3 linked regions of the Oreochromis niloticus genome follow. The protein of the gene in region 2 binds, or shares a complex with, the protein of the main gene of each other region. Links are inferred from orthologs where the notes say so. Each region holds a gene or a part of one and is shown on either strand. Other genes may lie near its edges.

What was found.
Region 1: timm29 (region 2) and timm22 share a complex: the UniProt entries of both Homo sapiens proteins name them as parts of the TIM22 complex. The link is inferred for Oreochromis niloticus from reciprocal best matches to the Homo sapiens genes TIMM29 and TIMM22.
Region 3: the proteins of timm29 (region 2) and timm10 are in contact, whole or in part, in a cryo-EM structure (PDB 7CGP), measured with the Homo sapiens proteins. The link is inferred for Oreochromis niloticus from reciprocal best matches to the Homo sapiens genes TIMM29 and TIMM10. Residues at the interface, in NP_612367.1 of Homo sapiens: Asp181, Asp183, Ile184, Asp186, Phe189, Leu192, Leu196, Arg197, Val199, Gln203, Leu204, Ser206, Asn209, Glu210, Leu212, Phe213, Asp214; in NP_036588.1 of Homo sapiens: His30, Arg31, Lys32, Cys33, Pro35, Pro36, Leu43, Ser44, Lys45, Gly46, Glu47, Ser48, Val49, Arg53.

Annotation. Positions count from the first base shown.
Region 1 is NC_031975.2:6,099,359-6,109,416, reverse strand, and holds timm22 (mitochondrial import inner membrane translocase subunit Tim22), read left to right. Parts: upstream 1-5,404; 5' UTR 5,405-5,414; coding exon 5,415-5,727; intron 5,728-6,121; coding exon 6,122-6,318; intron 6,319-6,834; coding exon 6,835-6,907; intron 6,908-6,992; coding exon 6,993-7,069; 3' UTR 7,070-7,650; downstream 7,651-10,058. UniProt on the Homo sapiens protein: Essential core component of the TIM22 complex, a complex that mediates the import and insertion of multi-pass transmembrane proteins into the mitochondrial inner membrane. In the TIM22 complex, it constitutes the voltage-activated and signal-gated channel.
Region 2 is NC_031969.2:3,552,859-3,562,405, reverse strand, and holds timm29 (mitochondrial import inner membrane translocase subunit Tim29), read right to left. Parts: upstream 3,733-9,547; 5' UTR 3,622-3,732; coding exon 3,516-3,621; intron 3,075-3,515; coding exon 2,476-3,074; 3' UTR 2,117-2,475; downstream 1-2,116. Other genes in the region: protein YIPF2, read left to right, coding at 5,218-5,248, 8,614-8,768, 8,851-8,931, 9,031-9,118. UniProt on the Homo sapiens protein: Component of the TIM22 complex, a complex that mediates the import and insertion of multi-pass transmembrane proteins into the mitochondrial inner membrane.
Region 3 is NC_031971.2:36,377,022-36,388,088, forward strand, and holds timm10 (mitochondrial import inner membrane translocase subunit Tim10), read right to left. Parts: upstream 4,825-11,067; 5' UTR 4,663-4,824; coding exon 4,592-4,662; intron 1,832-4,591; coding exon 1,636-1,831; 3' UTR 726-1,635; downstream 1-725. Other genes in the region: uncharacterized protein LOC102082595, read right to left, coding at 6,211-6,515, 6,599-6,745, 7,854-9,632, 10,890-11,067.

The sequences.
Region 1 (10,058 bases), on a different chromosome or scaffold from region 2:
GCATTGGTGTGGACTTGGGACAGCTATATATCCCAGAATGCATTTCGTCCAAAACTCAACAGCGGACTCCCGGCACATCGTTTTCAACCCCACCCCCCCGCTCGTGGACTTCTCACTACTCAGGTCAAAGAAACCCCAGCAGCTGTCTATAGTATTGAGTGTCCACTAGAATAGAAATAAAAGCGTTCTAACATCTCACCTGCTTGTTTTTATTACGGTATGTACACGTATGTACAATTTTTATTAATAGAGGTTTCACTACTGAGGTTAAAAATGATATATAAGTCACTTAGATCACTTCTAAATGTTAATGTTTGGTTTATTTCAGTGTTTTATTTGTTCCTGAGTAAACCGGTTTGGCTGTGATTACAGCTAAGCTTCATAACATGTTACTCACAGTTAAATTAGGAGGGGACGGCAGTAAAAACTCCGGACCTGTGACATCATCACGTACGCAGGTGTTCCAATTATACATATCGCGAGTCCGTGCTCGCGTTCTCGGCGGGTACGTACTCCCGTGCGTTCTCGGCGAGTACGTACTCACCAAGAACGCGAGTACGTACTCGCGTACTTGGGCATTGATAAACGGCCGTTGAGAAGGTAATTTATCCATTTAAATCAGCTGTGATGGATCAAGGACACATCTAAAACCTGCAGGGACACCGGCCCTCGTGGACTGGGATTCGGGACCTCTGCTCTAAAGAGTTCCAAGTACCTCTACTGCAAAGATGGCAACCCTATTATTCTGTCTTTTTTCTGGCTTGAAACTATCTTGCATGCACTGATCAGACAACATTAAAACCCCCAGCCTAATATGTGCCCTCATTGTGAGAGCACACAAGCTCTGACCCATTACAATATGTACATGACCTCTGTGGTGTTTGGCACTGGGATGTTGGCAGCAGATCCTCTGTGTCCTGTGAGTTGCCGGGTGGCACTTCTGTGGACTGGACTTCTTCCAACACATCCCACAGATGATCAATGGGATTGCAAAGTGTGGATAGTGGAGATAGGGTCACTGCTTCAGACTCCTTGTTATGGCCCTCATGCCTAATTCCTGATCAAGTTATTGACTGTTACAGGGAATGTTAACCACGAGGAGGGCGTGTGCTTGATCTGTTATCATGTTGAAGTGGGTGTATGAGTGAGCGTAATATCCAGGTGAATCCCAGGACCAGAGTTTACCCAGGGATGGATTACACCCACTTCACCTGCAGTTTTAATGCTGTGGCTGATCTGTGTGTATCGCAGATTGAGAAAAGGCAGGAACCAATTTCATCAGTTAATGTTCAGAAATTAAAAACCTGATGTATCCACTTTAGAATGCGCTACTGTCTGACTGCCCATCATGCTGCTGACATATGATCGACATCCAATAGAGTTTCTTTGTGTCCTGAACACAGACCAATGAAGTATTTCCCCTTCTTGGATGGTTAACCATGAGAAGCAAAGCCTTCAATTACCTAAAAACAAACCTCACCAGGGCTGGTGCAGTTCTTATGTTTGAACTGGCTTTTCTGTTTGCATACTCAAAAGAGAAAACTGTCATTTGTTCACTTGTCACAGGACTATAAAGTGAGCCGTGCAATTAAAATATGTATTTGGCTTCTTAATTTTTCCTCTCTTTTCATTACTGAAATGTTCTCTTTTGCTGAAGTTTATTATTCAGGCATAATTATGTTAGATACTCGGCGGGTTTCTGGAACCCATCTTTTAAGTCTACATTTAAAGGTTACCTGGTGAGAGAAAAATTACACATAGAAGCTTAGTCAGGATAATTTGTCATAATGAAACATTTAAGGATCTACTAAAGTCAAAACCAACAAACGTTTTACAAGTACCTGCAAGAAAACACAAAGACATGTTTGACAGCTTCACACAGAACTCCTCTAATTGGGAACAACTGGCTGGCTGATGACGTGTAGAAAAACAGCTTGCAGCACACAGAGGCAGTTTTGAAGGCAATTTGCCATTAGCATCAAAATTTACTTAAAGCCTGAGCAACATTAGTAACTTTATCTCTGCATTTTTCAGGTTTCTGTCAGGGAGCAGTGTTAGACAAACACTAAAAAACAAAACTAAAATCTAACAGGAAACCAGGACCTGACTGACCTCTCTTAGCAGGGGTTTTAAGACTAACCTGGGGTTACTTTCCACTTTACAAGAGGATAAGCTTATTCCACTGCTAGATATTTATATCAGACACATTGTACACCAAAAAAATAAATACAGACCAAAGAAAAGATTTTAAGCGTAATATTCAGACCAGTTTAAAGAAGTTGACCCGTTCTTCCTTAAGGAGGAAACTTACAAAGTGTTACATTATCAGGCATCAACACTATCACCGCGTTAATACCTTTTATTTGAATGTTTATAAAGAAGGCATAAATACTGCTCAAGCAGAATCCTGTTGGACTCGCGATGGTGCAACCTTAGCCAGTAAACTGAAAAATTCAGGATGGACATTTGCGGCTGCGGAAAATGGGACATGAAATGCAGCGTTAGTGGTGTTAGTCCACTTACTGTTGGCCATCACTGCAGTCATACAGTGCCACGCTCAATTAGCGTGAATACAACACGTCCTTGGCTCGGGCTATAATTTTATGACAGCCGTTATTATCGTTTGAGGAAAAACGCGTCTGCTCTCACAATGACTAAGTCGTTACGTTAAAGGAGCATAGACGTGTACAGTGACTATGCTGGCAATGAGCATGTTACCGTCAGCCACTTCTACGTTGGTGTAACTCGGCGAAACCCGAGCGACTCTCTGTGGCCCATTCTTTAATTTAGACACCGAGAAACAGTAGAGCCTTTACAGTGAAGTTTACAAATTTCACCCCAAACAACGGACGAAAAAAGCAGAAAGGCCACAGGCTATGAGAAATAAACAAGTGTTAATTAATCTCACCTGTTCCGTACTGCGGTGGAGCTGCTGTGTTGACAGGATGCTGACGCCTCGCGCAGGTCTCACCACCGGCAGTCTGAGCTCGAGCCGATAGGTGGAGCGCGTGAAGCGAGTCTGGCGCATATGCTTTGGCGCAGTGTTTAAGGGGTTTCTGGGAAATGTGGTCTTTTTTTTTTTAACAGGACAGAAAAATGATAAGACAGCATGTAAGGAACAGCGTTTTCGCCTCAGGTGTAAACTTATTTAGTCAATTTAATTTGTACTGCACCTTTGTTTGAAGTTTAGTGTGCTTCAAAGTGCTTCACAGATGAGTGACAGGCGAAACAGATAAACTGTAATAAATAAAAAAATAATACAATAAAGACAGGAGTATTGAATAAAGAAAACAGACATCAATAATAAAAAAATATATTAATGATAAAATAAACAAAAATAAAAGTAATTTAGAAGACATTAATATAATAAAACCGAATAAAATGTAAAGTAATCAATAAGATCTAGTATAATCTTGCGAAATTCTGTTATGTTATCTAATTATTATTTTATACAATAATCCAGTGGAAACAATGTAGGTAGACCAAGGGCGTAGATTTGGTTTTGGCATTGGTGGGGACGGGTGTTTCAACCACCGAACCCCGCCCTGTTTCTTTTTTTTTCCTTTTCGTCTTTGTTTCTTGATAAAAAAAAAGGAGAAATATACTTGCCTACATATGCTATTCTACATGCTATTAAACCATTTAAAATTACAATTCATAGTTTTATATGTGAATTATATAATGTTAAATTACTACTAAACAAATGACTAAGTATTTTAGACTTTAGTTTACTTTGATTTTATTCCACATCAATCAGGTATCATACAAAAATAAAAATAGCTTCAAATACAGTCAAGACAATAAAAGAATATAACTTTAAGGACTTAAATGTGGGATGGAGAGATTTCGCAGGTCTTTCCTCCCCACTGCTGTCAGACTCCACAACAAAGACTTTTGCAGCTGATCAAACACACACATGTGCAATAAGACGTTGTAAGTTGTATTTTTACTCAGTTGTATATAACATTTGTATTCTATTTTTATCCTAATGTATATTTTATTCTATTTTATTCTATTCTGTACAGTTGTGTACAGTATATTATACTTATTGTATTCTAATTTTTGCTATATAACTTTGCACTGCCCACTTTCTGCTGTGACAAAACAAATATACCACGTGTAGGAATAATAAAGGTAATCTTATCTTATCTTAACACGATTACTTGAGTTATAGTACACCAACTTCTCTTATACATTAGCACTAAGGGAACACTAAATGAACTGGTGGTTTTTGTCGATAAAACTCATCTAAGATGACCACAAAATTATTATTCTGTGCTTGATGTGCCTCACCTTTGGCCCTGGCTTTTCCCCTCTGACTGCACTAGGACATATTGCCTCTTGATAAAATAACACATTGATTCGTGCCATATAAAAAGTGAGACATATCAATTCAGATTCTTTGTCAAATCTACACTAATCAATCAATTTACATCAGCAGCCTAACAATTGTAGTGCAAACTGCACTACAAGGTGGAATATTTGCAAAATCATGACTACCTCATGATATTTTGTCTCAAAAATTAACCCTATGAATATGTCAGTGCCACTAGGATGAAATTATTGTGTCACCAACATTTTAACGTAGAGACATATAATTCTAACAGCCTCTGTAAACTAATATCCTGGCTTGCTCGAGGCTGCCGTTTTCTCTGACAGTTTCAATCAAAATTAGAAATGTTGCTCTGAGACTGAGATAACTAATAGTGCTGCCAGTTGTGCAGTTAGTTTCCAAAACACGTAATTCATGGTTGCATACAATTTTAGACTGATGTGGGCCAAAGCCTAGCATAGCTTGTAACGTTATTATGATGGACACATTTTATGAGTGAGCCTGGCTTTAAGTGACTTAGAGGTTTCTTTGAAAAATACTTTCTTATATGCACGTTCTTCCTCTTTGCTACCGTCCTCCTCTCAGCGCAGGCTTGCCGCTGCTGAAACTAAACAGAGCTCCCTGAAAGGCTCAGCCAATCACATTGGCCATATTTGTCACATGAGGTCGGACTCCAGTAGAGAACGTAATTTAACTCTTTCTGCACCGCTGGGTGACTGAGACGCTGACAAATCTTTTTTTTTCTTTCTATCGGGTTTGGGGGGTTTTTAGAAGAAGCGATCAAATTATTGGTGGGGACATGTCCCCTCCGTCCATGCCAAATCGACGCCCTTGAGGTAGACTAAGGGTTACGCACGCAAAGCATAAACTCCTCAAACACACTTTAAGTACAGGTTGACTTTGTGTCGAATGTGCTAAAATTAACCAAAGTAATCTTTTAGTGAGAGAATAAAACCATTTTTATAAAAAATAAATGAGAATACACACTATTATTATTTAACCTATCGTGGTTTGTTCGTGTTTTTGTGAAGCTAAACACTTTAATTACCGTTATTTCTATCAGCAGACAAATGGGACGAATATGCGCGCGCTCGTCTTTCGACGACATTTACTTGAAGCTCTGTCATTGAGAAACATGGCGGCCTCCACGAGAGCTGCAAATGCTGCTGCTTCCAACCCACAAGGTCCAGCTTCGGTCGGCCCGAGCGTGGACAGCCCGACTCTTCAGTACAGTATGATTCTGGAGCATCTTATCGGTGACAAGAGGCCCGTGAAGGACCTGAACCCCGCCGTGATGGGGGGGCTGCCCGTGCCTCCGAAAAGCGACGAGCAGAAGATGATCGAGAGGGGAATGGAGAGCTGCGCCTTCAAGTCTTTGCTGGCCTGTGTGGGAGGTAAACGGAGACATTGAGAGTGTAACAAACATCACAAGGGTTTGGTGTTTTTGTGCGTGTTTGGCTGCTCGTGCAGAATATTTCGTGTGCTAGGTCACCTCAGATATACTAGGCTATGGGAGCTGTAATGCTATTATACCAATAAATAGCAAATTAATCAGTCACCTGATCAAACCAATCAGTCATCGATATTGTCTTGTCTTAAGATTATGTATTTGTGTTCAGACATAAGAAACGTGAAAGCAACATTTTAGAGCTTTTTGAATAAACAGGTATCAAATAATCAGTTTATAATAAAGCCACAATGTTGCCCAAATGCCAATCAGCTCAATAGCAGAAAAGATCTGTATATATTACAATTTTAAAAGTCTGATGATGTTTTTGCTCACCACAGGGTTCGTCCTTGGAGGAGCTTTCGGTGTTTTCACAGCTGGAATTGATACTAATGTTGGCATCGACCCCAAAGACCCTTTGAGAACTCCAACAGCACGAGAGGTTCTAAAAGACATGGGCCAGAGGGGGATGTCCTATGCCAAGAACTTTGCCATTGTGGGCGCCATGTTCTCCTGTACAGAGTGCATCATAGAATCAGTAGGTCACAGCATCTTACATCCTCCTGTGGGGTCTGACAGACTCATAGTGGATATATAACCTCACACTGGAGCTTAGAACAAAAGGCAAAAATGAGCAAAGGCGATTAATTTTCAATGTATCCACCAGTCTCTTTAGAATAATAAGGAATGAATGAAATAATGATAACAGTTTGTCAACAAGGGTTTGAAATGTAATGTGAATCCATAACATGGCTTCAAAGAGGAAAAATTCTCAATATGTGGTCAGATTACTAGAGCACTGTCAGAATCACTGAAGACATATTATATATGTGGACAGCAAATCAATTTCAGCAAAGTAGTTGCAACTTACGCTAAGTTTGTAAATGTGCAAATAGTACAGGAAAGGTAGATGCCAGCTATCTCTTATTAGTCACTCCTCTTTCTAAAATGTAGATGCCAGTATTATATTTGCTTTGCATTTCTTGCTTTTATTCTATCCCTGCAGTACACTGTGGTAATAACTGTCTTTTTTGTACCTGTTTTTCATTTACAGCACAGAGGCAAATCTGACTGGAAGAATGCTGTGTACAGTGGTTGTGTGACTGGAGGAGCTATTGGCTTTCGTGGTATGTAACTTACTTTATTAACTAACAGTTTGCATTACAACAAATTTATGCATTTTGTCCACGTGTTTATTTTTCTGTTTTGCAGCTGGTCTGAAGGCTGGTGTTCTGGGATGTGGAGGCTTTGCTGCATTCTCTGCTGCAATTGAATATTACTTGCGGTGAAGTTCTATGGAGTGGCTCGATGGACAAAAACATAAATATTACACATGTGTACCAGAGAAAGAAGATTCGCACTGTGAGCTTGCTAACCCTGATGTTTCCCTGCACATCAAGGATTGCTGTTAAAGCAGAATTGAAGTGTACTGTTCAAACACAGGGATGTTAAGTGGCACCACAGTGGGCTAAAGAAAACAAACAAACAAACAAAAGACATGTCTGTTTTTCCTGTGACTTTCATATTGTGGACAGTTGGAGCAAGGAATGCCAGTTTCTTATGGTGAATCTTCAAAAACAGAGCAGAGTGGGTCTGCTTCAGTGGCGTACTGATCAGGTGATGAATGCTAAACTTGTGTGAACTTGACTCTGGGTCTGTAAAAACTCAGATGAGCACTCTTCTGTAAAACATTGGTTTGTTGTGTAAGTAACTAAGTAAGTAACTAATCCACACCAGGATTATTTATAATAAAAGCATTTTTTTTAAATTGTGGATTTACTACTTACTACTAGGTCCCAGGCTGTTGTGGCTGTGTAAGGTTCTTCCACATATTCCACAAAAATAAATACATAATTTTGGCGAGGGAAAAGATGTACTTACTTTTTCTGTACTCCAGCCTCAGTAACTTTCACACAGTAACATCTGGTGTAATATTTACACCTCTGATGAAATCTCACAAGTGTTAGCTTTATTTTGATATCACGATTGTTTATACAGAGTTTGTAATTGCAGAGAAATACTCAATTTTTGGGGGGCATGTCATTTTCAAGCAGGAAGCTCAGAAAGCCCTTTGCGTCTTAACAGGTTAATTAGGCCTCTGATATTTATTTATGCTAATTTATAGTTAAGTTAATGGAAGAAAAATTAAAGCTTAGTCTACTGTTAGCATATTTATTTGAAAGGGCATTGTGTTACTTTGTTTACATAGTAGGATATAGATCACAGTTCTTCGTCAGTGCAGCATTTTCTGTAAACTCAGTAAAGGTCTGTGGCTGAATGTAGTGCAGTAACCACCAGAGGGAGCAGCATGTGTCAAATGTCAAATTTCCAAATGTTGCTCTGGATGGGAGACACTATTGATATTGTGAATGATTTAAAGACATTGTATAAACAGAATAAATTTCAGTGATGGCAGAATCATGGAGATGACAAAATGAAGCACTATTTTAATCAATTAAAATCTTATACTCCTGTTTTTAGGAATACAATACTATCTTAAAGCATAGACATACAAAATGAGAGCATTTTGATTTTTTTTTTAAGAGGGATGGAGGTTAACGTAGATATTTAGCCTCAACGTTACAATATATTCCCCACAAATCAAAGTCAAACATTTTATTCATTTTATATAGCATCAGGCCGGGGTCTTTCTGTGTGGAGTTTGCATGTTCTCCCCGTGTTTGCGTGGGTTCCCTCCGGGTACTCCGGCTTCCTCCCACCGTCCAAAGACATGCAGCTTGTGGGGATAGGTTAATTGGATAATCGAAATTGTCACTAGGTGTGAATGTGCGAGTGAATGTGAGTGTGAATGGTTGTCTGTCCCTGTGTGTTGGCCCTGCGACAGACTGGCGACCTGTCCAAGGTGTACCCCGCCTCTCGCCCTATGACAGCTGGGATAGGCTCCAGCGCCCCCGCGACCCTGAAAAAGATAAGTGGAAGCGAATGGATGGATGAATGGATAGTTTTAATCTGGAAACAAAAAACAGGAGTAAAAACAATAATCTATTACTCCTAAAACAGTAACAGTCATAATATTCATCTAGCAGTGCATATAGTATTTTTACAACTGCAAGCACTGCTGGAAATGTTACCTCACACACTCAGTTAGGTGTGCTTATGTCCACATCACTATCCAGCAACATTTGTCACCAACAAATGGACACCACTGGAAAGAGAGACAGAAACAGCTGCTAAACATTTTCCCACCCTTTTTTCCTAGAATTCTATGATTTCTTCCAAAATCATGCTCACATTCCCACTGCTACCCCGTTTAGTAATTATAAGCTTTGTTCGATTGTCACCATGTAATGTATTATGATAAAGTCAGGCACAGTTTGTTTGCAGAAGTGGTTAAAAGATAGGTTACCAAATCGTTAGAAGGTACTAAACAAAGTGATGGTAATTTATCTGAGAATACTGTTACAGATATATGCTGGTTATTGAATGCTTTCTCCAACATTAATTGATTATCTGACATTACTACTTCCTGCCATGCAGATGAAAAACAAAACACTTTCTGTGTGAGGTGCTGGGCCATGCCCAGAAGTTCTATCTATGGATAGGAACATAGCTGAAATTTAACATAGTACATCTACTCAAGTACAGATTTACTTTATTTATTTGTTTCTATGTTATGCTACCTTTTGCTTCTACTTCAGTGTTGTATGGATATACTTTGGCTCCATCCCATTTATGTTAAGATGTGAATTACTTATTATTTTTCACATATTAAACATACTTACTAATAACAGTTGCATATGATGCTGTTTCACTGTATATAAAGCTACTCAGCAACATATAATTCAAATCACAGACAGTCCTGCAACATTAAAGTGAAATAACTAATCAAAGTGAAACAGTACACATTAATAAATCAACAATTGTAATTACATAATATAATCGTGAGTCTGAGTATGAGCATTCTGCATAATGATAGCACTTTTAGGTTTTAATTTAGGTACTTTAAGTATGTTTTGTTGCTAAAGCCTTTACCTAAATAAAAAAGCTAGGATTATGACTTTCTTAAGGAAAGAGTTTACATAGTGTTTCATTAGATGGTAAAACTGTTATTCAATACAAAATGATGTTTAAACTCATAAACTGATGTTTATGTGGTGCAATGCAGTTTTTTTGTCTAACAGTTTTAGGTTTTGTATTTATTTTGATCAGATATTCTGACTTCCTGTTGATCCCACTCCCCATGCCACCTTTCATCTTTTTACACATCTGCAAATCATTAGGTAATAGAAAGGAAATTTCTGTTAATCAGTGTTATGA
Region 2 (9,547 bases):
CCACATAAATATATTATTGAAATGCTACATTTAAACTAGATGGTACCAGGCTCATAATTATTTTTGCACTAGAGCACCCTCTGGTGGCAAAATCCAAACATGAACACCAGTGTAGTCCTTAGAATACAAATTGAGCAGAAATCCAATAGCAACAACTTAGAAAACCTGCTGACCCGTGGCCTGTGACTCCCTTAGCATGACATCTGATAGCCCTTGCTACAGGGTCACAGTAGTGACATCATGGGTCACCTCACTGTGGTGCAGTCTCTTTCCTGTGGTTAGGTTATCAGTGTGAGGGGTCAGACTCATTATCCTTCTCAGGGGTGTCAACTGAACTGCTAAGACGTACTGTAATTGCATTTGCCATGTGACAGTGCAGGCAGCATTGCTGCACAGCAAACAACCTCATCAGCAACATAAATGTTATTGCATTATAAGGTGCAGGTTATGATGATAATGTGTGGTGTGCATAGGAATACAAAGTCCTGTTGTGTTAGATACATATCATTAAGACCTGTTTACATCCATATCACCAATGTGAGTTTGTTATGGGATTAATGCAGAGGGCTTCACATCGTCTGTTTAGAATTCCCCAGTAACTTAACAAATTTTTTGGATTGTGGGAAGAAGTCTGAGCAGCTAGAGAGAGTTCATAGAAACAACACAGAAGGCCCCCAGCTGGCTCTTGGATTTAAACCCAGGCCCTCTGTACTGTGCAGCAATAGTGCTGACCACAACACCACTACACCTATGTAGAGTCTAAAACACAGTAATTCTTTATTTACTTATGGTCCACAGTGTGAGCTGGAAAACTCTGTCAAATATCGCCAATTTTATTTTTACGTTGGTAGTTCAATCCCTAGGCTCTTCAGTCCACATGCTGAAAAAGCTTATCCCTTCTTCATTGAAGTGTAATTATTAGATTAAAAGCAAACTGATGTAGAAGTGCTTGAGATGAGTGAGATGTGTTATGGAAGAACTATCCCATTTCTATTCTATTTCTGAAAAAAAAGGCTTTCTTGAAAATACTTCAGAGCGGGCTTGAACCCTAATTCTCTTTCAAAGTTTTTCTTTGAACACTGGCTACTTTTAAAGTAGTCAGTTTAATCCAGCCCTATATCTGACCATTTTCAGATGAATGTTTTTTGTTTGGTAAACTACTCAGCACTGACTTGTAAATCATTCAAACATAAAAAAGGAACAAAAATCAAGAGGTGAGCTAGTATTGTGTTTACATATAAGGGACAACTTAGCAAATAACCAGTTTTAAATTGTAACTTTAGGCAGTTTTTTCAAACACATCATTAGTTCCAGCTTCTTTAGTTGATGAAAAAAGCCAGAGAGGGCATTTTGACAGGCATAGAGTTGTATTTTTTGCACCAAAAAAGGTGATTCCCAAAGAGCCAAAGGACCTGAGATACACAATTTACTCTTCACCAAGATCTCAACAGAAACGGTCTCACTGGAACAGAAGCTGTGAAGAAGTGCAAACAGTGAGACACTATGGACCTAACTGTAGGTTTCACAGACAGCACCAAGACTTCAGATTCACTTGAGTTTTGCATTTTTTTTTCCTTTTGTTTTAATCATTTTTCTCTCTACATTGCTTGGTTATGTGTGGATAACCAGGTAGCTGAGAAGAAATACTAGTCATTTTTTTATATTAATAGTGTGACTAATAATCGTTTATAAGCACATACTTAATTTTATCTCCGTGTATTTTCATCTGTTTTGTTCCAGAGCGTACAGCCAATTGTACACATGCAAATACTATAAATACAGTTCATTGTATTTCCAAATTATATGGCTCTGTACCTCCTCACTACATTGCAGTTTTACCTTCACTTTTTTTGCTACAAAATACTTTTCAGACTTGAGGATTTTGCAATAAAAGTTTTGTTTAGTGGGAATCTATTATCACCTCTAGTCATTAGCAGTTATGGTTACGTTTCATAGCTACTATTCTCAAGTTTTACTGCAACTAGATGTGAGGAAAGGTTGTATTTGCAGCAGTGCAGTTCTTTTCCCTTATCTTTGTTATACTTAAATACAACAATAGGATTTGTGCTTTCAAAAACTCTACAGTTGCACACAAAATCCACAACAGTCATGTCAGTCTGATTAGTGATGACAGGTCTTTAATAATCACCCAGAGTTCATATCAGTGTGTCACATCCAGATCAAATGCAAATCACATGTTACACCTTAACATCTGTAAATAATTGACAGATTCGTTGTCACATGGTTCACAGTATAAATGATATACAACATTTTCTGTAAGAAAACAAAAACATGTCAGAAAGAATTCAAGTGTTTCTTTTTACTTTGTTTCCTCTGTCTCGGTGGCAGAATCATCATTTGGTCAGCGACTGATATGTGTGTGTGTGTGTGTGTGTGTGTGTACACAGTCAGGCTTCTGTCCTGCTGCGTGAAGTGCGAGGTTGCTCCTCTTCACTCTGCTTTCCGTCTACCACTTTAGTTTTTGTCTCCCTTGTCCTCCACGCTCACTGGTAACCACGACTCTCTGTGCAACTTCTCATTCCTTTCCACCTCCTCAACGCTGGGTGGTGACGTTACCTGCATGTGCGCTGGCAAATGCTTGAATTCATCCTCGTTCACGTCATAGTCCTTCATCTTTGAGTCCAGGATCCACCAGTTGCCAGCAAAGCCAATGTCCAACACCCGCTGAGGGATCTCCCTCCAGGGTACTGACAAGTTAGAGCACTGGGCTTCGTACAGCATGGCGTCTGGGTCGTAGTCAGCGTAGTACACCACAGACAGAAGACCCAGGCTGGCATGGCGGAGGCGGCCCTCGTTACGGAGCTTCACCAGACTCTGTACATGGACATCAGAGATGCCGCTGCGGATCCAAGGGGACAGCAGTCCCAGCTGGTTGGAACGTTTCAGCAGGGCGTCGTCGAAGGACAAGCGGTCAGGTTTGGTGTAGAAGCAGGCCCAGGCACCGCCCAACAGCGTCACATACACTGATGTTCGGAGTGGCCTCTCCCAGGCGCCAACTACCGCCTCTCTGCACGCTTCTTTGTAGTCAGAGAGCAGGCTGCGACACCACACACCTGTAGGGAGCAGAGGAGGAAAACCTAAGCCTGGATGTAAACCACCTCTCTTCATGCCTCCTTTTCTACATTCACACCCTTTACCATAAAAAAAAAAAAAAAAAAAAAAACACTGGCCAGCTGCAGAAGGTGAGAGGAGTCAGGTGATCTAATCTCCATCTATTTATGATGTTATCACATCAACAACCCAATTCAGCGGCATATAGTTGTTAGGAGGATTAAAAAACTCTATACTGTATAACCGTTTTTGTCAAGCAACCAACATGCACAAATACTAGCAGAATAATGCGTTTAAAATGGTCATTTAAGCAATTAAAATAACTGGGACTGTTTCTGTTATATCACATATGCCCATATAAGAATAAGCTGTTTACCACCGAGCTGGTCGTTAACCCCCTTGCTATCCAGCTAACATGGCTAACCCGTGCCTCGGTTTCTCACCTACTTTGCTGTTTTTCAGCCGCTCCCAGCGGCTCGCTGTGCCCGGAGGCGCCGCTGCTTCCGCCATAGAGCTGAACATCATCCTCGCTACACGAGACGAGGCCATTTTAACGACTTTTATGCACTAAAGACGCTAACCTTCATGCAGAATTGACATTTTAACTATCAAGGGGGACCTCACATGAAGTCAAAATGGCAGCTACTTCTTTTTTTTGGTTGAAAGCTAACAAAAAGGTTTAATTACCGCCATCTACTGGGTTGGAGTGGTGGTGCGAGACTCCAGAAAGAATTAGCCTACAAATACACATCCTGCTACCATAAATTACATTCCATCCCTGCTCACAATTTCTGTCTCTCTTTAAAAACTGAAAAATGCTGCCGTCCCACCATTAATAACTCTTTCCGATAACTGCCAATATCTTCTACACCCCCTTGTTTCTGTGTTTTAGTTTGATAATTTCTCTAGCTTTCCTATTTAACAGCACTGTTCCCCTGTTCCCCTTTCCTTTTGGCACTGAGCAAATTATATTTCCCTGATAGTTGCATATGCAGATGCAGTTAATCCTGTTTAACTATTCTCAACCTAGAAAATATTATTTTTCCCTTTTCTTATTGCCTTGCTTTGGTACATTTTCCCTGTATAGTCTATGAATGTCTTTAGTTTGCCCCTGTGGCCCATCTTTGCTGCCATTTATTTCTTATTTTAAATACTTTTAATGCTTTTACTACTACTTCTTTATATTCCAGCTGGTCCCTTTATGGGTCATCGGAATAGATCATCTGCTTCCATCACCCCCAATCCCTTGCATGCTCTTCTGTCTCACCAACCCTCTTTATGTCCTCCGTCACTACACTTACACCTTCCTTTTGCGTGCAGCTCCACCACCAGCATCCTTTGTCCGATATATTATCCACCCTATCAAACTCTTCTCAACCTTGCTTCTCTTACTTCGTCTCCAAACTGCTCAAAAATCTTACCATGTTCACTTCTGACCACCGACCCGACAACTCCACCAGACATGATAGCGGGTCTCACTCCCTTGCGTGAACCCTTCCTGTCGTTTTTGTTGCTATCCTCCTGTCACAAATCACCCCTGACACTCATCTTCATCCGCTCCACCGTGCCAGCACTCTCTTGTGTTTTTTGTAACGTTAGAACCTTTCAAATAAAGTTATTTTGAAGAGCGCTTCCACGTGACAGCTTTGTTTACGTGGTGACGTGTACCGGAAGCTGTGTTAAATTGACTCCAGTATCAGCAGGACCTGTAAGGCTGTAAAAGACAAGTGTTAGTATTGTAATGTTATTAATGTCTAGCATTTTATTAAGTCCGCTGTTGTCATATATTAAAGTTAGCTTTATTTACAATTTAAATATTAGCTAGTCGTAGCATTAGCTGTCTCTGCTGAGTGGTTGATATTACGCCATTCAGTATCATCATTATCAGCAGCAAGATCCTGCTGAGCAGCGAGGACAGACTGTCAAGACATATTTCACCTCTCTGGTTATTACATTTTGGTACGTTTCACCTTTTCTTGTCGTTTTTTAAAGCGTTGAATTTAATATTTTTATATTATACATTAACTGTAAACTTCATGTGGTTCCCTTGTCGGTGAACTAACAGATGTTCAACATAGCATTTCTTTACTAACGTTCATTTTTCTCTCAGCTCTTGCATGAAGTTACAGGTTGTCCATTGAAGGCATGGCTAGTCTAAACAACCTACAGTTTCAAGGTAAATATGACAGAATCTTTAAAGGAGATATCGGTTGTAAATTTCTGCTTGTTTTGTTCTGCCTGGGTTTCTTTGTTTCACGTGTTAGTTCCAAATAAGGTGGGTGTTTGGCAGAGCTGCACTTGTGTTTTATGCAGAAACCAAGCTGAAACTAAGTGTCCACATGAATCAAAAAACTGGACTCTCCCCTCACCTAGGGGCAGGGGCGGGTCTAGAAGGGTGGCATGGGGTGGCATGTGCCAACCTAAAATGATCTCTTGCCACCCTAGTTTTGCATATGACAGTGTTGTTTATTAAAATAAAATAGCATTAACACTTTGAGCGTAGTTACAGTTAGCAGTGAATATAAATGCTAAAACTGAATATATTGCGTAGTGGTACCTCCCTCCACTATTAACAAATGGTTCAGCCCATAGCGCGGACCGGCTTTTTTCTTGTTTTCAGCCAATGCTTATGATTGTGCCAGACAAGGCAAGGGGAAAAAAATAAAATGAAACAATTTAGGGTGAAATACAAATGTAAAATCAGAGGGTTAATCCAACAAATCATGAAAAATTAGGTTTAAATTTTTGTTCATGACAGTGCAGATTCCTGACATTTTGTGTAATTTAAGCATGTAACGATTTGATTTTTTTCTAACAAAAAACAGTGTGAAACTTACGTTAGACTTATGTTTGTAAATGAACCGCCCCATGTTGTGTAGCTTTCTGTATTTTATTCTTACTGGGCTACATTATTTATTTATTATACAGGCTATACAGTACATAAAATCAAAACTCACATGTTTTTTGTAACTAAATTGTTTAATTATGTGGGCTACAGACAATAATTAAGTTATAGACTATTTTTTATATGAAAATCATGTATACACACTGCATTTTAATCATTTTAACCATATGTAACCACCTGCATATGTGTTTGAAAACAAAGGCTTCGATTTTGCAACCCCATTTGATTCCTTTGCCCCCCTCATGCCACCCTAAGAACATTTCTCTAGATCCGCCCCTGCCTAGGGGTTTTAATTGGCTGTAAAAGAGTTTATACTGCAGTGACCATGCAGAGCACATAGTACAGTAGTCTGAATCACGAAATCAGCGTGAAAACATTGTTGAAAATAAATTATTATTGATTGAAACCATCTACTAAAGGACAAACAGCGACATCTGCTTGCCATACCCTACTATTGCAGTCGTATGTAAAGACGCTCTTCCTGCTTCCTTGTAATACATTTTCTTTTACTTTCATGCAACATGTAACATTGCACCTTGTACTTGGACCCTCTGTCTGTATGTGTAGGTTACTCAGAGGATTATGGGTCAGATTTGCCAAAAAATGATGTTTGTTTTCATTTGCATAATATGCATGGATGCAGTTGAACGTCCTGCTGATTTATGACACACAGTGAGTTCCAGTGTATACTGTGTCAAATGCAATGTTCCCTCTAATTTTTCATGTGTCTGAGCGAACACACAAACTCCTTGAGCGGTCCCTTGGACCACTGTGAGCGACATCAGACGTGTGCACTGTGGTCACGCCAGCATCGAATCCATCCAAGTTACATGGTTTATTAAAATAATCAAATTAAAGCATTTACATTTATGTTAGACTAATTAACTGCTTTAGCCCACTTACAATGAAAAGGAAAAAAAAATCTAGTCATTGACCTGTGCAGTATGTTAACACTATTGGAATTAAAAATAACTTGAACTTTTTAACTTTTTTTATATATATATATATATATATATATATATACATAAAGCTCTGACTTGTATTATGAGTATGAGTATGTGGTCGGGTAGCTGCAAAGTTTTTTGCAGCTACTATTTTTTTTTTTTTTTTTAAATGCAGCCAATGCGCTTTTAAACAAACATTTCAAACTATTTACAGAACAATCAGGTGTTCTGCATTTGATGCCACACAAATTATTTGTGCCACTCCAAAAAATAATTTCTGTCCACTATGAGATAAAGGAGAACACCAGCCTGATACCTGCAGGCCTGACAACAGGAGCTGTATCACTCCTGTAACACCTGTAACATTCAGCAGCCGCCTCATTGTTCTGACACACACAACAAAACTATTGACTACACTACACACTAACTACACAAGATTTGCGCTAAACGTCTCAAATCTCTCACATCTCAGAACACCGCCGTCACTCCTAAAACTTCCCCCCGTTTCTTAACAACTAGATGCCACGTTGCCATATCATTTTTTGATTGGTCGACACGGTACTTTTTTCGACCAATAGGAAAGGGTGGGGGGTTTTTTGGTTTTGGTTTTGCTCACAGGTGGAGAGTGCTTTCGAGGGTTTTCCTTATAAAACGCAGTTTTTACCGTTTCTTCCCGCAGTAAATATAAACAACGATAGTATTCAGGAAGAAAACCAAACATTGCAAATATTTTTATCATAACTCTGGTTTTACGTGGCCTATCAACACAATTTAAAAACTGGTATAAAGTCCACACTTTTTCCGTCAATTGTTCCGTCTGTCCTGCTCACATCTCCAATGGTTGTACATGTTGTCATTAACGTGGCTTCACTCCACATCAGCCACGCCGCTTTGCTAGCTAAAACACCGGTGTCGGCACATAAGGACGCTGTCATAGCCTGTCAACGACGTTGATTCGCTGCGTATATACGAATGTGAATCGCATCATTGGCTGGACTATAGGATAAGGTGGCATCGTTCTAATCCCATACAGGAGCAGCCAGTCACTGACTAACACTGCAAAACAGAATTGTTAAAGTATTAATTTTAATTTCAATTCAGGTTAGATTTTTTATTTTGTGCGCAACGCAGATTTTCTGTGCGCAGAGACCGTGCCAGCAGTGCGCAATTGCGTACGTGCGCAGCTTACAGGGAACATTGGTCAAATGCTAAGTCTTTTCTCTGACCTACTAAACGGCATGCTAGCATGGCTATTGAAACACCTTCATGGTGTGTCGGTAACTTCTCTTCCTGCTTGTTTTCTAATCTTATTCAATAAAATATGTGTTTTAAAACCTTTAACAGAAAGTCTGTCTCTCTGTGAGACAGGCTGATACCAACACTGTGTAATCTAAAGCAGCACAACACTGCTGTTGAATAAAGTGAAATAAGGTATGGACGCTTCTTGCAGGAAGTTGTTTTATTTGTCAAATAATATCATTAAAACAGGACCAGTCTGGTTCAGTGACATCAAGAGCGGGAAACTATAGACAGAAACTGAGATCGCTTTTTCAGTACCTGTTTGTAAATATGCTTTTTAATCCTTTAAAGTTTGACATTTTAACATGAAGTCTATGGGAATTTAATCCCTCTGGGAGTGGTGATCAGAAGAACTGAGCTTACCGACTGCCTTTTGCCCATGTGCATCCATAGAGTTTGAAGAAGCAGCAGAGCTGCTATCGGCAGACCCTGGAGCCTCCACACTCAGTATGTCAGGCTCAAACACCCCCAGCACAACAGCATCAGCAGGAGAAGATGTAAAGCTAGACCTATCTGAGGACGAGGAGGGTCAGCAAGAGAGTTCAGAGGTAAAAACGTTGTGTGGACTACGAATAAAGGTTGAGTTTCTACTTTGAGTGCATATTGGCTGATAGACGTCTGTGCTTCCAGCTGTTAGGAGGGCAGAAACCAAGTGGTGGCTTCTGGACCTTTGAGTACTATCAGTCTTTCTTCAATGTGGACACAATGCAGGTATACCTGACATTTACCTGACACTTTGTCTACACGTAAAGTCTTTGTCAGTCAGTTTGAAGTTCCATGTTTCTTTTGTTTGACCTTATCATGATGCAGGTGCTGGACAGAGTGAAGGGGTCAGTGATGCCACAGCCTGGAAGAAACTTCATCAAATACTACCTTAGGAGTAACCCAGATCTGTATGGTAAGTGGAAGCAAAAATATTTAATTATTAAACTGTATTGCAGGAAGAACATATTTTGCACTGTGCCTTGTGTTATGGGGGGGCAGATCGAGGCGGTAAGTAGATTTTTGGTAGGGGAAATTAGATTCTAGCTATCCCTGAAGATGAGTTGTAGGTGGGTAGGAGATTAAGGGCCAGATTACTGTTGGTTTGCACCAAGGTAAGTCTCTTTTTAATGCTAAACATGTTTAATGTCTCAGGGTCTTTATCTTATTGACTGTATCAGTTAATTCATGTGATTCAGGCACTTCTGATACATGTTAAAAAGCTGTTCAGGTGTCACTTATTGTAATTCCACCTTTAACTGTTTGTTGCCCATAGGTGGCTTTTCTTTGACTTTAAATATCTGCGGATTGGTGAGAAACTCCCTGCATAGTTTGTGTTCTTGTT
Region 3 (11,067 bases), on a different chromosome or scaffold from region 2:
CTCTTCTTTGTCAGAATGACTTTGGCTCAGTGAGATGAGTTGCTGCCTGAGGGCCAGGTTCGAATCCTGCTTAGGGCGATGTTTTTTTTCAGCAACAATTTCTCTGTCTTTACCCCTTTCAGTAGAAGTTTTTGGCTTTTCATCACTTTTCAGCAAACATTTTATGCTTCTTCACCTGTTTTCAGCAGAATTTTCAGTTTCTTCACCGCCATATAACTTTTTGCAAGTTTTCATCTTTTTCAGCTTTTTCAGCACGCAATTTCAGCGTTAAGGCATCCACACAGCATTTTCGCAGGAAATGCAAATTTTTCTAGTTTTTTTTTTAGCTCTCCAATAGGTTTAGTCTGTTTTTTTCAGTTCAATAATAGCCTCCTCCACTTGCATTAACATCTCATCGGCTTTCATATTGAGAGTTCCAGTGAACAAGTACCAAACGGAAGTTCAACAACTGCAATAAACTATAGATCTTCGATGGTGGTGTACAGCAGCAAAATTACAAAAATTATATATCCAAAAGATTTGGGAACCTTTTTTTTTTCAAAATGTAGAAAAACATCGTGTTGTATCTGTAATAATCACACAAGCTTTCATTGTATATCATCTTATAGTTACTGTATATTCATTCACACACACTCTGTTGTCCACATACTGCGTGAGAGTGAAGTCGAACCATGCCACAAACCTCGTGTGAGGGCCAGAATAAATACTTCCAACACTCATGAAGCTAGGCTACATGATGACAGCGCTTTATTAGAGTTAACAGCACACTGTGCAGCTTCTTTGCGGTGCAGATGAAAAGCTGTGTCACTGTGGTTTAAACATGAAGAAAAAGAGACACACACACTAAAACATGGTCCACTGACACACAGCACAACACAGTCTACACAAGCATGACAAAATGAGCAAAATTCAGGCATTGTTATTTTTTTATCTGAGCTGTTAATGACAAAGAACCAACCAGGGTCAAAAGAGTAAACCATGAATAGTACAAAAAAGACATTTTGGCTCAGCCCATAATGAATTCTGTGCAAGCCCTGACCCATGATTCGCTGTTTCTGAGGTGTTGCACAGGACTGACATGTCTGCATGACAGACAACTGTAAATAAACTAGTTCCACGGGTTGAACTGCAGCTTTGCAAAGAGTCTATATTTACTTTCAGTGCCTTCCAAAACCAAACAAGAAAAATCTGACCCCAGTTCAAAGGGTGAATTGACATAAAGATTAAAGTTGAATGATTCTTTGCATTTGTCTGGACCTGTCACATGTAACCAGGTTTCTGGTTTCTAACTTTCTGATGTTAAGCGTCAGAGGCCTTTCTCCTTTTCAGTCAGATTTTCAGGTGACTTCCAGAGTCCAGGCTCAACATACAGAAAGTGGAAAAGATCCAGAGTGTCTGGTCCACTGTGAGCAGTTTCAACGTGTCCTTATGCTGCTGATCCACCAGGTTTCTGAGGAAGAGGCAGTTTCTCTCAGCGGACCCTCGACAGCATTAACTTCACACTTTATTTATTTTTTTTAATTTCCCACCCTTTAATTAAAATACAAGTCTCTCATTGTTTGAAGCCACACATGCTAACCCCATCCCCATGACCTTTTGATCCCACATCATTCTCCACTTTTTCTTCATCAGCATCTATCCGCTCCCCACAGCCGCCTTCCTCATCATTTCCTCGTCCTGGACGGAGAGCTCCGTCAGCTTGCGTCCTAGCCGCTCGTGAAGGTCCAGATATTTGGCCACGCAGCGGTCCAGGCAGACTGACTCACCCTTGGTCAGCTCTGCCTCCTTATAATGTGGCGGTACGCACTTCCTGTGGCAGGCATTAGTCATTCTGAGAGGAAAGGAAGGAAACAGTCAAGATTCTTCAGTATTAAGAGTGATGATACAGACATTTTTAAAACATAACAAACTTGTTGCTAGATGATGTATTCATGCATAAGCACCTTATTGTGGGGTCCCATTATGACTTGCTTACAACAGTCACTTAGTAAAACAGAACAGCGCCATCTGCTGGAGTTGTTTTTGTGAACCTAAAGTTGGCTCTGAATTTAAAGACTCTCCTTTTAAAACTCATATTTTCACATTACCTGATATAACAGTTATTTCTTTTCTTAAAGATGTTAAATTAACCAACTTTTAGGTCAAGAAAAGGTGCATTTAAGAAGAGCATTTAGAATTTCTGCAAATAAAATGTATTCTGGTTCATGTCACAGCAGAAATGTGCTTCCCAGTTTTGACACAGATCCTCCATCAGAGCAGGGAGGGACACAGATTCAGTTTAATTATATACTTCAAACCAGAACTAGCAAAAAGTTAAATGGCAACTAATTACTTCCTTTGTCCTCAAAGTCTTCACAGGGATAAGCCCCAAGGACAGAATTTCATACATCCTTGCCCAACAAACACCACATGACCACCGACGGACATTAAACCCAGTTCCTCTTCACTGCAGGAGATTCACAAAGAGACCAAACTCAAAAAACATTTCACATGAAAGTCATCAACCTCTCATTTCATGGTGCTGAATGAGTCTATCCAAAAGCACTTCATCGAGCCAAACGTCTTTCAATACAACACCATGCTCATCAGAAGAAGCCTTAAGGTCCTTCTGCAGGTCACCATCACCGTTTGCCTTAGGACACACAGGGGTGGTGACCTGATAGGACCTTACTGCTAATTCTGATAAATTACATTTCAGTGGATTATTTCTTTAACCCGACTAAAATTATTGGTTAGGTTCTTCACATCCTGCCCCAGAATTCAAAAAACTGCAACAAGGCTGACGATAAGCCACGAACACCTCTAACTGCCCGAAAGACCCAGTTACTGTCACTGTTGTGGTGAACTACAAGAAACAGTTAAACTGTTAAAAACATTATTTTACACAACATACTTGTAAAAGTATTGCCAGCATTGGGATACCAAAAAAAAAAACCCAAATCTGAAACATTATCAACTTACTGACATGTCAAAATGTTTCCTGTGAAAAGATACTAAACATAACAAACAAACATAACATGCCTCGCCCACCAGAGCCAACTAAACAGAACGGCCCATCTGACAATGTCCAACAACTGTGTGACGCCATCACGTCAAGACAGACCAAAATCTCTGAGGAATGTTTCCACCAATTTTTTTATATCTATGCTAAAGGCAAAAGGGGAATTATCACGTATGAGCAAGCAATAATCAGGTGGCAAGTAAGACATCTTTAATGGCTCTAAGATGTTGCCAGGTATCATATGAATGTTCAGAAAATTTTAACTAGAATTTGATAGAATTATTGCTCACTTCCATCCACAAAATGTAAACAAAAAATAGTATTTGGTTTATGGAGTGATGTCAAAAACTGGGTGCCATCAAATTACTGCAGAAGAAAATCCCAGCAAAATGACAGAGAGCCAAGAGCCAATCAAACCTCAGTCAAAAAAGTAAAGCAAGCGAACTGCTTGTTTGTTGCTCTGTGTTGAACAAACCAATAACTCATAGCTCACGTATATTTATTCATCTTTCTCAAGCCAAACACACTTGGAAAAAAATATACAAAAACTATTTTCTTTGGCAACTGACTGAATCTGACTCGGGCTCGGTGGGCTTTAACTGCAAGACTTTATTAAAAGCACATGAATGTATAATTTGTGCAAGGTCGTTAAAGGATAAATATTAACCAGGCTAGTTTTTTCTTCATTCAGAGACGCAGGTCTGTGCTGTAAAGGTTTCTTCCAAGTATAAAAATACTTGTGATCAAAATCACTTAACTGTTTTTTTGGGGGTATTTTAAAGTGAGGTTTAATTTAATAAAAGCTTAAATTAATTCTTTTGTTTTTTGTCAGGTTTTTTTTGTAAGCCAAAAAGAACATTAAAATCCACACACCTGTCATCAGGTAACACAGCCTATTTGCTTTAACTATATGTGGACGTGATAAAGAGAAACCCTTTGTGAGCGCTGCATTTTAGGTCCACATTTACAACACATGTATTTCATCACTGACCTGTGCACTGGCGCATAGCAAATCATTATCAATGCTTCTCTTGCAAATAGAAAATAACTTGGGCTTTTCAACAAAGACAACAAAGACAATGACCGGGGGGCAGCTATAGGCATATAAATGAATGCACTCTTACTCTTACACCAGTGACGGCATTTAAGTAGATTACTGTGTTATGACACGAGGACACATCTTTATATTATGAGTAACAGCCGTACTGTGCCTATACTGTAATTTGTGCTATGTGAAGAAAATTCAGTGAGTTAAGCACTTAACTCAGGTCTTTAATTTTTAGTCAGTATAGCTCTTTTTAAAATACACTGGATTTAACCCTTGCCACCCTTTAGTAGAAGCCTCCCCTTGCCTTAAACATGCCGGCTGGTGGGCCTTTATAATAATGAGCTTTTTAGCAGGACACTGACTTTATCAGGTGTTGCTCGCATTAACGATGAGCTCTACAGGCTCAGCTTCACTAAACAGTAATTATCTTTGCACATTATTCTGGCACACTGTAAATAAATGTAAGTTTGACACATAAAAGCCGCCACACTTCACAGCAGACTGCTGTGGCTAGCTGAGAGGTTAGCTTGTTTGGGCTTTACCGGTTGTACATGTCAGCCATCATCTCCACCTCCAGCTCCGCCGCCAGCTGCTGCGCCTTCACAGGATCCATGGCTCCGCTTCAGTTCTGCTCACACCGGGTCTCGATCCACAAACACGCCGTCCCGCTGAGCCTCTCCTCCGGACAGCAAGCAAGGAGCACTACCCGCTGCTTCAGTAACCTTCAAACCTGCACGAAAACACGTGTGTACCGTTTCCTCCACATACTTCCGGTGACAATAAAGTTGGATTCAAAAAGCAGAAAGCGGAGAGAGCAGGAAGTGCGCCCTCTACTGGTGTGTGTTTGAATGTGTATTTCTCCAAAGTAAGATAAGAGCCTCACAGGGAGATGAAGGACAAAAAAAAAAACGCTCAAGTTCAAATCAGAATGAGGAAGTTGGTTTGTTCTGTATTTCTGAAACTTCTGTCTCCATTTATTTATTCATGCTATTTGTATTTTATCTATTAGTACATATTAACCAGCATCTGTGTGTGGACAGCAGAGAAAGAATTTCATCGTACAGAGAAATGCTTTTCTTTGTACACATGACAATAAACGTTTTGAATCTTCTGAGATGTTCCAATACAGAGAGAGATCAGAAAAAGATCAAATGTCCAGTGAGCACCAGTTCTCTGGGTAAAAATTAATTGTGGATGGCAGACGACAAAGGAAAATGGGCAGACTGCTGCAAGCTGATGAGAAGGCAACAGTAACTCAAATAACCACCGGATGCTTGGTTTTGGGAGTGGAAAAACTGCTTCCCAATTGTACGTCTCCATTTCTTCTGCAGTATTTGGATGGTTGGTCAAGAAGTTTGTGAAAACATAAAAGCAGAGATTGACCTTGCTTTGTGTGTCATGTCCATCCCTTTATGACCACAGTGTACCCATCTTCTGATGCCTGCTTCCAGCAAGACACTCAAAGGGCCTCCATAGATACCAGAGCTCAATCCAAAGTATTGCATTATAAATGTGTAGCTCATAAATCTGCAGCCGTGACATGCAATGCCGTCATGTCAATATGGACCAAAATGGAAAAGGAATATTTCCAGCACTTTGTTAAATCTATGCCAATTAGAGTTCTAGCAAGATGTAACTAATAATGTGGCCAGTGAGTGTATATTCTGTAGTGCCCTCTTGTGTTCAGCTATGGTGCTTTTTAAAGAAAGCAGGCTGTCACATGAAAACGTTTAATAAACCATAATTATATTATGTACTGATGTACATAAAACACTTTTACAAATATAGACTTAAAACAACAGATCTTTTCCACATTGGAAACATACAGAGGGACATCACTGAAGGCCACTCAAGTGCCTTTTCCTCTATTCATCTGACAATTTCGCTGAAAATGTAAAATGTATAAAATTGACAAAACAAACTTATTGTAAACTTTTTCTTTAGCATATTATTAATGGAAATTAAACATCTTTTTGAACCGCATACACAAGGAACTAAACGAAAACCCAAAGTGGTGCAAACATGAAGTGAAGAATGTAAAAATGAATCTTTATACGCAACTTCATGTGACATGTGAACATAAATACAACCAGAACAGAGACAGCATTAGAGTGAGAGCCGACCACTGGACGGGGTAAAAAATACACACACGTACATGACGTTACTCTGCTTCGTCTCCAGTCACGTCAATCTCATTCACATCATCTTCCTCATCTTCATTCGGAGTCATGTCTATGTTGTTGAGGAACCCCTCACACTCTCTGGTCTGAGGTGCTTTTTCTGGGGAGCAAACCAGGACATCCACCTCTTCTTCCTCCTCCTCTTTTCCCTTTTTGTCTGTACTGGTTATCTTCACGGTCAAGGGGTGCAACAAGTCCAAAGCTGTGTTTTCTTCAGGCAGGAGGGTGTCACTGTGAGATGAGCAGTCATCGTTGAGGAATGGAGACCCTGTTGTATCCGATTTCCCTGTGCCAAATAGAAGGAGACTGTGAGGGTAGCAGGGGCATGTGCATGCATGTTTGTGTGCAAGCACAAAGAGGCATACTCACACTTTCCGATGATAAATAACTGATCACCTGCCTCTACAGCCAGCAGTGAGCTTTTGACCAGCATCATCTCAGTCGAGTGGCCACTGATCTCACAGTCCATCCACCTAGACCAGGGGTGGGGAACTCCAGGCCTCGAGGGCCGATGTCCTGCAGGTTTTAGATGTGTCTTTTATCCATCACAGCTGATTTAAATGGCGAAATTACCTCCTCAACATCTCTTTACGTTCTCCAGAGACCTGGAAATGAACTAATCATTTGATTCAGGTGTGCTGACCCAGAGTGCTATCTAAAACCTGCAGGACACCGGCCCTTGAGGCCTGGAGTTGGACACCCCTGATCTATGGTGACTGCCACAAGAGCAACCTGGTCAGGCTGCCACCTAGTCTTGGTCCTCCACAGGAAGGACCAGGGTTAGGTGGTTAGTTTGAAAATAACAGTTAGTAGATGACAGAAACCTGCACAGCCAAATGGAAAGAAAGCTTTATGGCATGCTTTAACTGCTCGAGTGCCATCTCACTGTTGTGACAGATAACTGAGGACATTAAAAAAAAGAAAGAAAAAGAAGAAACTAGATAGCAAAAGCAAACATGGACACATGCCTACAGAGAGAATTTTAAAGTGTTTCCTACACAAAACACTGCATTCTCATTCCAAGGTAGATTTTTTTATATGTAGTAGAGCCACTGAGAAATGAAGGTGCAGTGCAACCAGACAGCAGGACAAACAGCACTTAAGTACATTTTGTTCATGCGCTGGATTGTGCAACAGCACGTTTTAAAAAATGGCCGTATTAAGGCTGATGTCTGAACAGCCACTGAAATTATGAGCAGACTTAAAAAGAAAAAAAATATTAAAAAGTAAAATTGTTCTACTGCAAGGTTTAAACTGTAATGACCTTCAGTTTTTTTAATTATTTTTTTCTCTTTCATATGTCTAAATCTGCATCTACTTTAAAAAAGGTTTTTGAAGTGAGACTGTGCAGCTTCCAGTTAGCCCACATGGGGGCAACACAAACACTGTGCCTTAGCTCCACCATGACAGTTTGTGGTCTGTGTTTTCTACAGTACACGTCTGCTGAGACAAATGGCCTGAAGCCACAGCACACTATGCCAACCCATCCTCGGAGGTGCCTATATGATTGGCATAGAGCAGAAAAATCAATACTACCAATGTGATCATTCATTCTGAATAACAACCTTCAAAGCAAAATCCAAGTAATTTACCATGGCAACAGAAACAGCAAAATTCAAAGTACCTTCATCAGGTCTTCCCAGTGGTCGCTCTCTCTCCGTTGTCACCTTGGCTTCATCTTCCTCCACAACGTCTAAGGACACCGGGTGGTCTTCATCACCATCCAAACTCCTCTTCTCGCTCATACGGCCGTTTGTCTCTGCAGACGGGCTCAAAAGAAGATTGTGATTTTTATCAACTGCGATGTTTGAACCTTTGTGATGTTCTTCAGAGTTTGTCCCGTCTTTAATGTCTGCTCCTTTCTTCAATATGCCATCTGTGCCTTTTACAGGTTCATGTGTTTCCTGGGTCTGTTTGGACTTCATCCTTCGTGCGTGTTGCCATTTAATAAGCTTCTGAATGTCCTTCAGAGTGACCATGTGCCGCTGATTCACTGTCCCAGGTTTTACGTCACAGGCATTCATTTCTTCAGCCTTTTCAGTGTGCTCGACACTCGCAGTCTTCTTCACTGGGCTGACCTCCACCTCGCTCTCATTCCTCCTCCGTTTTCTGCACGTCTTCTCCATTTTTTTCTCCTCCTGCTCTTTTGGCAAGTTCCTGTCAACCTGCGCATTGTCGCCATTTTCATTGTTTTCAACAATGGCAGGAACACTTTCTGAAGATTCCTCTACAGGTCTTATTTTTCGGGGTCTACCACGTTTCCTTTTCGCATGCAAGACGCCATCCTGATTCACAAGCCGAGCTCTGCTGACAACAGGCTTGAAAATGCAAGGCGTTTCAGGTGGGGTTGTGTTATTTGCTGCCTCTTGAGATTTTTTTATAAAGGCCCTGGTCCTGATCCGAGACGGCTTGGTGCCAAAGGGTTTTTCTCCCCCATTGTCAATGACGGGCGACATTTTACTGGGTTTCCCTGGAAGACCAGATGGTGCGTTTGAAGACCTGATAGTCTCTTCTCTTTCCTTCAATAGCACATTGTTACTCGACAAACTCACTGAACAATCCTTTGTTCCATCACTGACTTTTAAATCTTTGTACGCAGAACAAGAACCGGTGGAGTCTTGTTGATCATTTGTGCGCCTTCTCTTCCTCCCGTCTCCTGTAGTGTCATCATGTCTATATTTGAAACTCTCCTTCAGCCTCCTGGAGTACGATTTTACTTCTGCTGCTGATTTTTTTCCTCTCTCTTTCAAGCTATTCCCTTTGCAACCTTCTGCACTAGTTCCTCCATTTTTTAGATGTGAATCCTTCTCCTGCTGCTCTTGCTTTGACTGACAGCTGTGATCTGGATCTGGTGACGGAGATGTATTTTTATGACCCATGCAAATGATGCTGCTAAAGGGAAACTGCAGTAAACCAGCGTTGTCCGAGAGCCAGGGTCTCCTACGTAAGGATGGCTGCTGCTGGACACCCTGTTTGGGGTTTGCCGAGTTGTTGAGTAGAGGCTGACCTTTAGCTGCAGATGTGCTTGGCTCTAATGGGGAGAGACGCTGAGGAAGACGCAAGTCATCCATGCAAGGTGAGGAAAAAGTGGGTTCAGATTGTGTCCCATTTCCATTTGGCAGAGGTAAAAACTCGAGACTGTGTTGATCATCTTGTGAGGATGGTGGCTGAAATGCTGGGTAATGGAGTTTCTGGCCTCTGGTGAAGAAAGCTGAAGACAGGACTGAGCCTGTGGGTGTTTCCGGATACAGAGAATATTTCCTTTTGAATGGAGGTAAACCCTGGCAGCTCAATCCATCGATTTGCCATAAAGATCTGACAGCTGAGTTGCACTGGAGAGTCGGCGGCTGCTGCTGCTGGATTAACTTGGGCTGGTTTGGACCTGCAAAACAACAATGGATACCTAAAGAGCAAGTGGGAAGATGACTATCAGTTCATCCTGAATTACCAAAGAAGAACTGTATGTGAATGATAAGTCCTATATTTTTATAGACATTACCTGTGACAAACAAAAAATCTAAAGTACCAATTAATAAGCTCCTGAAAACTGAGAAGGGCAGCAGGATGGGTAGCAGCGAGAGCGCCTGAACTGAGACTTAAGTCGGGTACAACACAGTTTGCTTCTGTAGTAACATTTAATGTGCTTTTAAAAAGAAAAAGGTTCTACTGTGTTACTCTCTGAAAATACACATCTGCCTTTTTAAAATCGAAAAAAAGGACAGAAGTCTGGGCTAAAACAGTCGTCTACAAACTGCTCAACCTCAGCTGTCCCTCCTACTCACTTCCAGATAAAATCTGAGCATCTTCAACTGTGCCACCTCCACCTCCTGCATTTTTTTGTCAGAGCCCCCCATCTCCAAACCACAAACCTGCTCTACTCCCATTACCTCTACTCTTTGCAGATTCACTGTTACACCAGTCTCCCTCTCATTCATACACATGTATTCTTTTTTTGCTTCCACTGACTTTTTTATTTCTCTTCTGTCCAGGCTCTCTTCCACCTGCTCCCTACTCTCAGTTAATTCTTCAAATTCATTTTCTTTGCAGAAACACTAAAAAGTTTAATCCAAGGAACGAAGAACTGTTTGAGGTTTCAGACAAAACATGCAGCGTGGCTTCAGTTACTCATGATGGCCATTTCTCAAAGAAACAAGGTATAAAAAATAATAAAGACAAACTTTAAGGCTTTACATGTTGTTAAAATGTAACTAAACAAACACAAAAATCACCAATAAATGTTAAAAGCTGAACAGTAAACTTCAGTACACTCACAGTGAGGGGTGGTCAGGATTTTTGACTCCCTATTCTAAAATTAATCAATGTCTTGTCTCAAAATACTTAAAAACAAACAAACAAACAAAAAACAACCCCAATACTGGTAAGATGTAATACACTACTGCACTCAGAAGGTGGCAGTAATGGACCTAAAAACTGTTTGCTAGCCACAATTAAACAATAAAAATAGAAAAACAGGCCAGAAATGAGACCCGTGGAGCCTGTGGAGCAGTGAGGAGAGATGCTGAGGAGTCTTCATCAAAAGAAGAAAAATACAGAAAACAAAAAAACCTTACAGGTAAAGGCAGCATAGCACAGGTCCGCCACGACTATCCTCATAATGTGATATTAAAAATATATGTGTATTTACAAAGAAAGCTTCTACCTGTATCCACTGACGTCTGGTTGCTTTGTGACTCCAAATCCTGGAAGAAAGCACACTCTGCTGCACTGGTAACAGGATCCATCCGACTCTGGGCTGCGTCACCCTGTGAAACTGGGACTCGGCAAACATTGTGGCTCGACTCCAACTTCTTACAGTTACCCTCAAAGTTGGGCAGGAT